Mus musculus: one gene and its partners. The protein of the gene in region 1 interacts with the protein of each later gene in a pairwise test. Links are inferred from orthologs where the notes say so. Each region holds a gene or a part of one and is shown on either strand. Other genes may lie near its edges.

The links. The genes of interacting proteins can lie anywhere in the genome.
Region 2: the proteins of Ahcyl1 (region 1) and Cdkn2c interact in binary tests that used the Homo sapiens proteins (3 or more experiments, as listed by UniProt). The two-hybrid records come from large-scale screens. The link is inferred for Mus musculus from reciprocal best matches to the Homo sapiens genes AHCYL1 and CDKN2C.
Region 3: the proteins of Ahcyl1 (region 1) and Slc23a1 interact in binary tests that used the Homo sapiens proteins (3 or more experiments, as listed by UniProt). The two-hybrid records come from large-scale screens. The link is inferred for Mus musculus from reciprocal best matches to the Homo sapiens genes AHCYL1 and SLC23A1.

The regions. Positions count from the first base shown.
Region 1 is NC_000069.6:107,676,061-107,679,560, reverse strand, and holds part of Ahcyl1 (S-adenosylhomocysteine hydrolase-like protein 1), read left to right. Parts: exon of another isoform or gene 1-1,272; intron 1,273-1,729; coding exon 1,730-1,841; intron 1,842-3,500. UniProt on the Homo sapiens protein: Multifaceted cellular regulator which coordinates several essential cellular functions including regulation of epithelial HCO3(-) and fluid secretion, mRNA processing and DNA replication.
Region 2 is NC_000070.6:109,663,957-109,668,109, reverse strand, and holds the start of Cdkn2c (cyclin-dependent kinase 4 inhibitor C), read left to right. Parts: upstream 1-1,353; 5' UTR 1,354-2,500; intron 2,501-2,737; exon of another isoform or gene 2,738-2,952; 5' UTR 2,953-2,963; coding exon 2,964-3,092; intron 3,093-4,153. UniProt on the Homo sapiens protein: Interacts strongly with CDK6, weakly with CDK4. Inhibits cell growth and proliferation with a correlated dependence on endogenous retinoblastoma protein RB.
Region 3 is NC_000084.6:35,624,428-35,628,392, forward strand, and holds the start of Slc23a1 (solute carrier family 23 member 1), read right to left. Parts: upstream 2,801-3,965; 5' UTR 2,737-2,800; coding exon of another isoform or gene 2,711-2,736; coding exon 2,675-2,710; intron 2,067-2,674; coding exon 1,932-2,066; intron 1,539-1,931; coding exon 1,381-1,538; intron 850-1,380; coding exon 761-849; intron 641-760; coding exon 573-640; intron 437-572; coding exon 255-436; intron 122-254; coding exon 1-121.

The DNA of each region.
Region 1 (3,500 bases):
AAGAGGTCATCAGAATTCATGTGAGAGTTCAGTGATTCTCAACCTGTGCATTGAGACCCATTTGCCAAACTTCTGTCTCCAAAATTACTTACATAACGGTATAATTTTATAATTTTATGCTTGGGGGTCACCACAAATGAGGAACTATATTATAGGGTCTAAACAGTAGGAAGGCTCAGAACCACTGGTTTAAGCCATATAATTCCATATTTTTACATATTACTTTGTTTATAAATAATACTGATTACAAACTATTTTCAATTTATTAAAGCCAGTGGTCCAAATATTCTACCATGTAGATATGGTGACACATACATATAGCCCTAACACTCAAGTTCTAATGGGCTGATACAGGAGAATTGTGAGTTCTGAGCTAGCCTAGGTCTTTTTTTTTTTTTTTTAAGATTTATTTATTTATTATATGTAAGTACACTGTAGCTGTCCTCAGATACTCCAGAAGAGGGCATCAGATTTCGTTACGGATGGTTGTGAGCCACCATGTGGTTGCTGGGATTTGAACTCCGGACTTTCAGAAGAGCAGTCAGTGCTCTTAACCACTGAGCCATCTCACCAGCCCCTAGCCTAAGTCTTTTAAAAGATCTTGTCATTAAAAAAATATATATTCTGCAAATATAAAACTGCAAATAACTAGTTCTACCTAAAAAATAATTTATTCTACCTACAAAGACCTTTAAAACTTGTCAAATTTTCTTCTTTTAGATTCATCCTGATTAGTTAGGATGTAATTAATGGAGAATTTGGTGTTCGTTTTAAAACTTCTCTTTCATCCGTACACTCTGATTTTTAAATTTTTTACTGGTGCTACAGAACTCTAGGGATACTACATTGGTTTTATGAATTAGAGACGACATAGCTGGCTGTAATGTGTTTAGCGATTACTAGACATACCATTCAAAAGCAAAGCCATGGCCAGATTCAGAGGAAGAATATGCTACAGGAGAACCAGATGTGAGATTATATCTGCTTTCTGATAGAATTGGGTGAAAGGATAAAGAGTTTAGTGTTAGTGTGTAAAAGTTAGATAAAAGGGAAGGGAGAAACTTAATGAGATGAAGAAAATTTAGTAAAATTGGATAGTTACTAAAATAAATGGCTTTTCAGAATTGTCTTCTACCTCCTTCTCTCCCCCCCACCCCCAGCCTAGATCTTCCTAAAATAACTGGAAAGAGACAGTAGGGTTGGTTTTTTTTTTTTTTAAAGATTTATTTTATTTATATGAGTACACTGTCTCTGTCTTCAGACATACCAGAAGGACATATCAGATTCCATTATAGATGGTTGTGAGCTACCATGTGGTTACTGGGAATTGAACTCAGGACCTCTGGGAGATCAGTGAGTGCTCTTAACTGCTGAGCTAGCCCAAGACAATAGTTGTAACAGAGTTCAGAAAGCAGCCTCTTCCCCGCCCTTCAGATGAGAGTTACTGCCACAGTAAGAACCACATGGTGACGCCGAATTTTAGGAAAGTTAGTGTATGGATTTGGAAAAGGAAAAGTTTTCGTACAGCAAGATGGTTCCAAGGGTGAAGATGCCTGCCTCCAAGGCTGACAACTAAGTTCTATCTCCAGGACTCACGTGGTGAAGAGAGAGCAGACTCCCACAGTTTGCCCTCTGACTTCTTGTGTGCCTCGGGTACCTGCACATGATAAATAAGATCCATACAATTCCCGTGTACTAAGTTTTCAGCTTCTTACCCTTTCTCTTGTAGCAAATCCAGTTTGCTGATGACATGCAAGAGTTCACCAAATTCCCTACTAAGACTGGCCGGAGATCTTTGTCTCGTTCCATCTCACAATCCTCCACAGACAGCTACAGTTCAGGTAGGTATGACTTTGATGTCCCCTCTGTCCCGTCTTATTCACGGGTGCTCTTCACTAATACTTAGAATGTGAGAATCATTCCCAGCAAGACTTGCAGCTGAGGATGCTTTTGTTAAGATGTTCTTTCCCAGGCTGTTTTCTGTGTGGTCTGTGATCATTGCCTAGTTAGTGGCACTGGGAAGTTCCTATATCCACATTTGCAAGGGGGGGAGAATCAGTGGTATTTTTGCTTTCAGAACTGGCATGTAAAAAGAAATTTACTTTTAAACATAAGTTATTTGCATAAAACATACCCTTCCACCCATGTTTTTCTTTTTGTTGCTAAAACAGCTTGAATTATGACAATAAAATTTATATTTTTGTCTCCTTTTATTTATAAGATTACCCTTTATGTTAATATGCCTTTCCCTGTTAATTTCTGGAATGGGAAGATATAAACTATTGTAATGTGACTCCAGCTGTTTCCCTACCCTCCTGTCTTAGCCATCTGTAGTAAGTCAAGTCTTTGTTCTGGTTAAATTGTGCCTATCTCAGCCACAGAGAAGGTATTAAGAAATAACTAGAAAGGTGTTTAGAGGCTGAGATGACTCAGTAAAGTACTTACTCTGCAGGCATAAGGACCTGAGTTCGAGCCACTTAAAAAGCTGGGTGGGCAACCAAAGAATACACATGGAGGGACTCATGGCACTGGCCGCATATGTGGCAGAGGATGGCCTTGTTGGACATCAGTGGGAGGAGAGGCCCTTGGGCCTGAGGGTGTTCAATGCCCCAGTGTAGGGGAGTGCCAGGGTGGGAAGACAGGAGTGGATGGGTGGGTAGGGGGGGATGGGATAGGGTGTTTCCGAAGGGGAGACCTGGAAAAACATTTGAAATGTAAATAAAGAAGATAGCCAATTAAATAATAATGATAAAAAGAAAAATAAAAGCTAGGTGGGGAGGGGGATACATTCTTGCAATCCCAGTACTGGTAAAACAAGCAGATTTCTAGATTAACTGGCTGACCAGCTGCCTGTCCTAGCCTAATCAGTGAGCTCCGGGTCTGGGGATGACCTGTGGCACCTGAGATGAACTGAGGTTGGCCTCTCTGACTTTCCTGTGTGCAGACACAGTCACAGAAGCTTATGAGTCTTAGAAAGGGAACTGAGGAAAACATTTAGAGAGGACTGAGACAACGTCATCATTCAACAGAAGAGATAGTTAAAGAGGAAAGGCTTTAATGTTAATGAGGATTGGTATGACAAGCCCTTCACTGGTTCTTACCAGTAGTATTTGCATTGTTTTATTAAATTTCAAGGGCTGGTTGTGAGGTTTAAGGAGTGTAAAAAAAATTATCAAAGAAAATTGTATCTCTTCTCTGTGACACTGATAATCCAACCAATAAAGGCAGGATAGGCAAACAAGAACAAATGAAGGTAAGCAGGGTAAACTGAAATACACGGTTATATAGATTCTGTGGAGCTGAAGCATGCAAGAAACAATCCCAAATAGGATGGCTAACAAAAATGAAAAGGTATCTGAAGCGACAAACTAAATTAGAGTGGGGTGAGCAGAGCACTTAGAGTAAACAGAGAGGGGACTTTCATGTGGGAAGATTGAGCTTTGGAAGGAGAACAGGTGGAGGAAGTGAAGTTCTCAAAGGTCTTCATGGTCATCTTACAG
Region 2 (4,153 bases), on another chromosome or scaffold:
TTTGTATTAGTGCTAGTTATCACTTTAACAGTGCCAATCTCCTATCATAGCTTCCAGATAACTAAAAACTCAGAGTTCCCAGAATGTATACATGGAATACAGTATACATGGAATCCTAAATATTCTGTTAAAATGATTTTTAAAGAAGTTCATCCCCTTTGTTGTTACCTGATTCACAATATTCAGCTTTCGATACCTCAAAAATTAGCTCTAATCTTTTTCTTAACAACTTAAAGAAACACTGCCAAATTCTTGTAGTTCCAATTTTCCCTAACAGCCAACCTGTTGCTAAATGACTATCCAGATGTCTCTGGCTTGTTTGAATACTTTCACTTTACTCCAAGGAACTGGGTTACAGATGTTACTTGAGGATATATGTGCAGTGGCTGGTTCTAATTAGACCAATATTTGGGGGGGAGGGGAGGCGGAGGGGGGGTTTGGTTTCATTTTGACCACTGAATGCAACCATGCTGGTGTTTTTTTAAAAGCATAAAAGTATAGAAGGCAATAATCTCATATGCCTACAAGAAGACGTGAAAAGTACAGAAAATTGATGAATATGAAATATATGGATGCACTGGTCCTTTTACACTTAGACCACCATCCTCACCTCCACCTAAAAACAACCAATCCTCGGTGTAGTGAGTGAAAGAAATCCCCCAATAAAGACATAGCCTTTTTAGAAAACCTTTCTAACTCACTGTAAGCTTTGTTTAAAGTTAATTGCATTTCTCCTTTTCCCTCAAGACTAGAAGTTCACATTTTCTAGACCCTGAAGTTCGTCGGGATTTCTTGTAATATGCTTTCAGTTCTCATAAAACTCGGTCTACAAGACTTCTCTGCCCTGTGGTGCTGTCAGTTGTGTCGCCTCTGCAGCCCTGGCAATGACCTGACAGGTGCCAAGGCCTGTGGCAGAGCAAAGGAGTCCAGCAGCCCCGGGCCAGGCCACTCGAACTCGGCGAGCCTGGTCGGGGAGCGCCGAGGAGGGTGGAGCTGCCCGGCTCCAGCAGAGGAGATCCTACCCGTCAGCTGCAGGGCCGCCGAGCCTCTAAGGGCCTCCGCCCGCACCCGCGGCCTTAGTTACCACCACCGGGGTCCCGCACGGTAGAGGCTCCCACTCCAGCCAGCCCCAGAACAGCAGGCCAGGCCGGGCCGAACCCACCCCGCTTCGGCAGGGGAGACTAGCGAAGCGAGAGGGCAGGCGGGAGCGCCAGCGAACCCAGGCCCAGCGCGGGCAGAGAAGGGCGCAGGGCCGCGAGGGCGGAGCGAGCGGGCTGCCGGCCACTGCGCCGCCAGGGCGTTGGGCGGGGCGTGGGCGGGGCCCGGCCTTCCCGCTCCCGCGGCGCCCTAACTCGGCGGAGCCTCCTTAAAACTCTGCCGTTAAAATGGGGGCGGGTTTTTCAACTCAAAAAGCGCTCAATTTTTTTCTTTTCAAAAAAAGCTGATGAGGTCGGAAAAAAGGGATAAGAAACCGGCACAGTACCTTCAGAGGCAACCGTAGCAGCAGTTGCTTCAGCGGAAAAAGAAGCAAAGGAGGGAGGGAAGGGAAAGATCCTAAAGGAAAGACGCGCAAGTGTCTGTAGCGGAGAAGGGAGCGGCGATCAGAGATTTGGGGGAGTCGGACTACAAAAGAAACTGTCAGCTGCGGCTCGCGACCGGCCGGCGCAGCCTGCCTCGGCTCCGGAACCCAACTGGCTGGCAGCCGCTGTCCTGTCCGCGGCACTGATAGGGGCACAGGCCGGAGGACCGCCAAGAACTAACTGGCCAAGTGGCACCGAGCGCCCGAGCTGCTGGGCGGCCGCCAAGAAGTTGGCGGGACTGGCTGCGCCCGGGATCTGTGGCGACCGCTCCTACTTCCAAAGACCCTTCCCATCATCGGACGCCCCGGGAAAATCTGAAAGGGAGGGAACGACAGCGGCAGAGGCGACGGCCGCCCCTCAGCGAGCGCTTGCAGTGAAGAGCCTGAGCTAGCTCGGTCGTAGGCGGGAAGTTACTGGTGAGCTGGCCGGGTGCAAGAGCGATGCTGCCGCGAGCTACCCCAGCGGCTGGAGCCCCATAGACGCTTCCCCCTTCGCCGTGCACCGTCTTCAGGCTGCCGGGAGTCCCGGGACCCGGCGGGGCCGGCATGACGGGCTTGGCGGGGGTCTGCCGCACACCCACCAGCCTCCGGAGACCCGCGCCCTGCCCGGCTCCCACGGCCTCTGAGGCTCGGCGGGGCTGCGGCAGCTCGGCGGGCGGGCTCCGGAGGCTCTTCTGAAGACGCCGAGCCCGCTAGGGAGTCGTTGAGACCTGAGAGTTGAGGGCTTCAGAGCTGCTGCTCTGGTCTGCCCTCAGCGATCGTCTTTAACCCTCCCGAGCACGTCAGCATCCAGCCAGCGCGGCGCTCTGCTAGCGAGCGAGCAGCACTCTGGACTACCCCCTTCGGCTAGACGGATGGAAAGTGAGCTCTGCGAAGGACCTGACTCTGAAATTCTGCCTCAAATCACCACTGTGAACAAGGGTGGGTTAATACCTTTTCTACTCTCTAATACTTTTTCTTTCGCGGTGTTGTCTGAGCTGACCTAGTCCTTTAAGTCTCCGCAACATCTTCCTCACAGAGCTGTAAAGCTTAGGTACGTGACAGCTCTGCCTACATCTCACGTCCATAGTAATTAATCAAGAACTGCTTCTGTGTATGTATCTCTGTTGAATCGCCAGAATCCTTCTTAGGGGTTAAGCTAAAAAGCTAGAGAAGGAGCCCCTCTCCAATGGGCTCACTTTTGCTGAATAATCACGTGTGAATCGAGGGGCGGGCTTTTGGCAGGCCGACCTTACTAGTATTTACTACCAAGCTCTACTCCAGATTAACCATCCCAGTCCTTCTGTCAGCCTCCGATGCCATCATGCAGCCTGATTAGGAGCAAAGGAAAGGGGAAAAAGAGAAGCAACTAATCGTCTTTTCCCGATCGTCAGGACCCTAAAGAATGGCCGAGCCTTGGGGGAACGAGTTGGCGTCCGCAGCTGCCAGGGGGGACCTAGAGCAACTTACTAGTTTGTTGCAAAATAATGTAAACGTCAACGCTCAAAATGGATTTGGGAGAACTGCGCTGCAGGTTGGTATCCACAGAGGTGGGGAAAACAAGTTAATAAGGTTGCCTGGGTTTCTAAAATGACAGCTTTTAAGTTTGGAGGGGTACAGATCTTCACTGTTTTAAAACCTTCATGGTTGCCATATTTTATATCTTTAAGTGGATCCAACTCCCCAAAATGACGTACTTTGGAGAAACTGGTCAACTCCAATAACATCCTCGATATCAAGAGAATCTTAGGTTTGGTCATAATTTTTGGAATGCTTTTGTGACAATGGAGGTTTTAAAGTATTCTTATCGTCGAAATCTGTTTGTTTTGTGCAGTGTTGTTTTAGATAGCTCTTTAAGCACATTATTATGATTATTATTTCAAGTAAATACACAGCTAATGGTGGTATTCACCTATTTTGATCCTAATAATTGACTTTAAAGTTAATTCTCTTGACGTCTAGGCAGGGTGTTTTACCTTCAGCTGTTTCATGTCTTAACAAACGACCTTTCCTCGCTTGGTATGGGATAGCCTGGGCACCCGGACAGGGTGTACATTTTCACAGTTAATATAATACCTAATCCACCCATTCAGGAGTGAGGAGAAATTAAAAAGTTGAATTTCTAATCAGAGCCGAGTCGTAGTGGTTTTCTTATCCCTGTGGTCATGTAGTGGCATGCTCTAATTCTCAGTAATTAGATTTACAGGCAACGACTGACACATGTCCAGCTGCCAATTATGTACCTGATAATATTTTCCCCTCCAAATGGTATCATGTAACTTTTCTGAAAGCCTTAGAAGCAAAACATGGGGAAAGTGGTCTCCACTGGTTGCTGTTATTGGTGTTCTGATGGTATTCCTGGGAGCTTTCCCGGCCAGAAGCAGCTTTTGAAAAACCACCGGGGCAAGGGCATAAGAGATTTTTGTTTCTGTTTTAAAAAATAGAAATTTAAGTGGCAGGAGATGCCCTGGTGAAGGAAGCTCATTTGGTTTGTATATTTTAAATCAGAATACAGCTGGCCTTACAAAACCCTTCTCTGTTGAGGAAGCTTATGCAGAAATACTAAAATATTTATCTTGATTCAGGTAGATTAAA
Region 3 (3,965 bases), on another chromosome or scaffold:
CGGAAACATCTTAAAGATCTGGACTCGGAAGAGAGTGAGACCCTTGCCCCATCGGTAAACAGGTAACAGGAAGGTGAGGTTGCGCAGATACTGGGAGAACAAGACTATCAGGAGAATGGAGCTGGAGGCAGAGACACAAGAAGAAAATAGCTGGTGGGCCAGGTTGGGGCCCAGAAACAGATGAGAGGATAAGAATGAAGGGGATGTGGGGTAGCGCCTAGGACTGGGCAAAAATAGTCCTGTTGCCTGCTCACCAAGCCGAAATACCCCAATGAGAGCCAGCTCGGTCACCAGCAGCTTGGAAAACAGAGAGCCCAATAAGGGAGACAGTGGGGGTGACGGTGAGAGGCCCAATGTAGCTGAGCAGGGCCCCAGGCAGCCCCATCAGCCCAATCACCACCTCCACCATACTGGACACCATGATTGCACCCTGGACCTAAAAAGGCAAAATGAGCTATAGTCACTTTGACCTGGCATTATCAATATGTAAGTTCCTCAGCCACCTCCTTGCATACAGCTTAGCAGTGGCCTGCCCACCCAGCCCTTCCTTCAAACCCAATCTCTTCACCCACCTCCCGGATACGAGGATGCCAGATATGGGAGGTGTTGAGAGGCATACTCCAGTTACCGTAGATCTCTTCTGCAGACAGATGGAGAGAACACACTGCCATGAACAAACACACCCTGGTGCCTAGACTCTGGGAAGCTGCCCAGACCTTCACGACCTCTCCACCAGTGCAGATGGGCAAACTGAACCCACCTTCTGAAGGACACTTCCACCTCTCCAAGGCCAGGATTGACTTGGCTGGAACCAGAAAGGCAAAGGCACTGGCCTGGAACAACGGCAGCCTGGAAGGCGGGGCACATAGCAGTGGTGGAGTGGGTTGAGGAAAAGGGATAAAGGGAAGTCCCTAAGACCCCACATGGAGTCCCGCCCCCACATTTTCAGGGATCCTCCAGTTCAAACCCTGCATCTTGCCTTCAGCTCCCCCACCTCAGTGCCAAGAAGAGACATGTGCTCCAAAGCAGACTGCTCCATTTCTGAATCTGAGGGCTGCCTGCGATTGTTCCCAGCTACCACCACTGAACCCAACAGACTTGTTCATCCAAGACTAGGAATCCCCAAGTCTACATATGGATGCTGAAAAGGCCTGCTCACAGGAATGGACAGTGGGCAAGGAAGCAGTCCTTCTAAACCTTTGGAGCAGAGTGAGAGGAGGGAACCGCAGGGCTCCTAGGAACCCAGCTACCTAGCCCTCGGGCTAGGCAGGCAGACAGGGCAGCCAGACAGGGTAGAAGCCAGCTGGTCACAGCCCACCTGTTCTGCCGTATGCTCGCATGCGAGTATGTGTGCTTGGGAGCCGGGGAGGAGCCGCTCACCGGATGCCCACTGTAGTCTGGATGAGAGTGGTGATACCCACACAGGTGAAGATGGTACCAATGAGCTGACTGACCATGTGCTGGTCACGGCCCACACACAGCGCCTCAGCCAGGAGGAAGGGCACGGCGATGGTGCCACTGAAGCACGTCAGGTAATGCTGGGGTGAGAGACGGTCGAGAGGTGACCCCATAGCACTCTCATGGCCATGGGCACCCGGGTCTGTGTCCTGAACCTGGACCATACTGACAGGGTGCTTACTTGAAATGACATTACCCACCACACCCGACAAGGGATTCCCAGAGAACTACTGCTCACCCACCACTCGGGGCCCAGTCTCCCCCAGGTTAGCCCTACCTACCGTTCCTGTCTATCATATGCTACCCACAATCCTCCCAGGCCACTTAACCTTCTTTGGCACAGCTGTTTGGTGACAGTGACTGTGCTGACCTTGTCTCTTTCTCTAGCCTGAAATGACCTTCCTGATCAGAGGTGGCTCGGGATCCCGGGGGAGTAGCTCATGTAGAGCTGGGGAGGTCTTGTGAAAACCCACCTGGAAGCCCAGCAGGATGCACAGGTACCATGGTGGCACATCCTCAATCTTGTACAACATGTCAAACTTGGGCTCCGTGGGCAAAGGTGCCTGCCGGTCCCTGGTGGAAGTCCCTGCTGAATCCACGACCTCATGCTGCTCAGGGAAGTAGGGAGCCACGGCCGCTCAAGGCAGAGCGATGAACCAACCGGCAAAGCCCGCGCTGCCTAGACTAAGGGAGCTACAGCCGTCTCCCAGCAACTCAGTGAGGGCAGGATGCGGCAGCAGCTACCCTCCCCAGCTGGTTCCCAGTGGTCCTTCCCACTTCCCACGCCCTGCTGTGGGGATGAAAGCAGTGTCCTGGCTTCCAGAGCCCTTAAGGGCTTTCTAGTGAGGCCCCTAAGTCAAGAGACTGGGAAGGTATCAGACCAGAGTGGGATCAGACTGGGCAGGTCTAGACTGTGGAGAAGCCCCCTCCTGTCCCACCTCTATCTCCTAGAGGTTCTTGAAGGTGCCACAAGGTGAGAAGAAGGCCCAGCCCCTAACTGACCTCCAAGCCCAAGTCAGCCAGGCCCTAAACCTAAGGTTCCCTCACCCCTTCCCTCCACCCCGTTCCCCGAGTGCCACTCGAGGCTCAAGACTGTCACTTTTTGTCATTTGGCAATGTTGTCTCTGCCTTCCCAGAAAGATCAGTCCAGCCCCAGCCCCAGCCCCCACCCGCCGTGCCCCTCGCCCAGGTCACAGCTTCGCTATGCCCCCAGCACCTGCTTTGGGCTCCCGGGGTCCTCCGGAGTTTTCATCTCTGAGGCACAAGTTTGAGAAACCTCTGAGGAGAAAAGAAGAGGGCTTTCCCAAGGCCAAGGAGGACTTTACTCCACTCATCAGACATTGTTCGAAGTCAATCTGTAACCAGGTCCATAGCTCCAGATTGCGAAAGGGGACTGGACAGAGGTGAGGTATTAACTCTGGCTCCGGTGGTAAAGGCCGCCCAAGCAAGGGGCACGTTTATCTGCTGAGTATCTTCTATGCTACCCGCATCCCAGCCTGGCACAAGGCCTGTTCTTGTTTCCCTAGTGAGGGCCAGAGTCTACAGGGTGAAGAGGGGACAGTCAGGGGATGACATGTGAGGAGAGGGAGAGGACATGACTCATCCCCCGCTCTCCAAACCCTCTGCACTTATTAATGGAAGTTTATCTTATCACCATTGCTGCTCTTCAGGAAGAGGATCAAATGCCATTACCTGAGTTTGTATATGCACTGTCACATGGACCCTCTGGGATTGCATATGTTAACTCTTTCACTGCTGAAAGAAAAAGACTTAGTAGTGATATGACCACGGTCAGACAGGAAGTGAGGTTCAATTCAGGAAACCAAGGTTAAATTCAGGTTGGTTTTGGCGCCCCCTCCCTGCCATCCTTCAGCACATAGGATTCCTGAGGTATCCACAGACAGGCCTCTGCCCCTGTGTCAGGATGAGCATCTTAGTCAGGAAGAACTACTCAGTTTGGGGGACCCTGTAAAAATGAGAAGGGGCATCTTGTTGCAAAAACATTAAGACTTTTGTTGTGTCTAGTGGCTAATGCCTGTTATCCCTGTACTCAGGAGGCTGGGGCAGGCGGATCCCAGGGAGTTCAAGCCCAGCCCAGCCTACCTAATGATTTCCATCTAGGCCACCCTGGACTATGCACTTAAAAAGGAACACACAACATAGCAAAACTCTATCTGAAAAGTAACAGGGAAGGGCCAGCTGGGCTCCTCAGGTAAAGGCAGAGACCACCAAGCCCAGTAACCTGCCTTGACCTCTGGGACCGGAGGACGAGAGCTGCCATCCATAGTTCATCTTCTGACTGCCACATAGACCCCTCTAGCAAAACACCCAAACTCAACCAACACAGACACAAATGAAAGCAGACAGACAGGCAGGCAGGCAGACACACACACACACACACACACACACACACACACACACAAAAACACACACACAGACACATACACACAGACACACGCATGCAAACTAATAATAGATAAATAAATAGCCAGGCATGGTGGCGCACG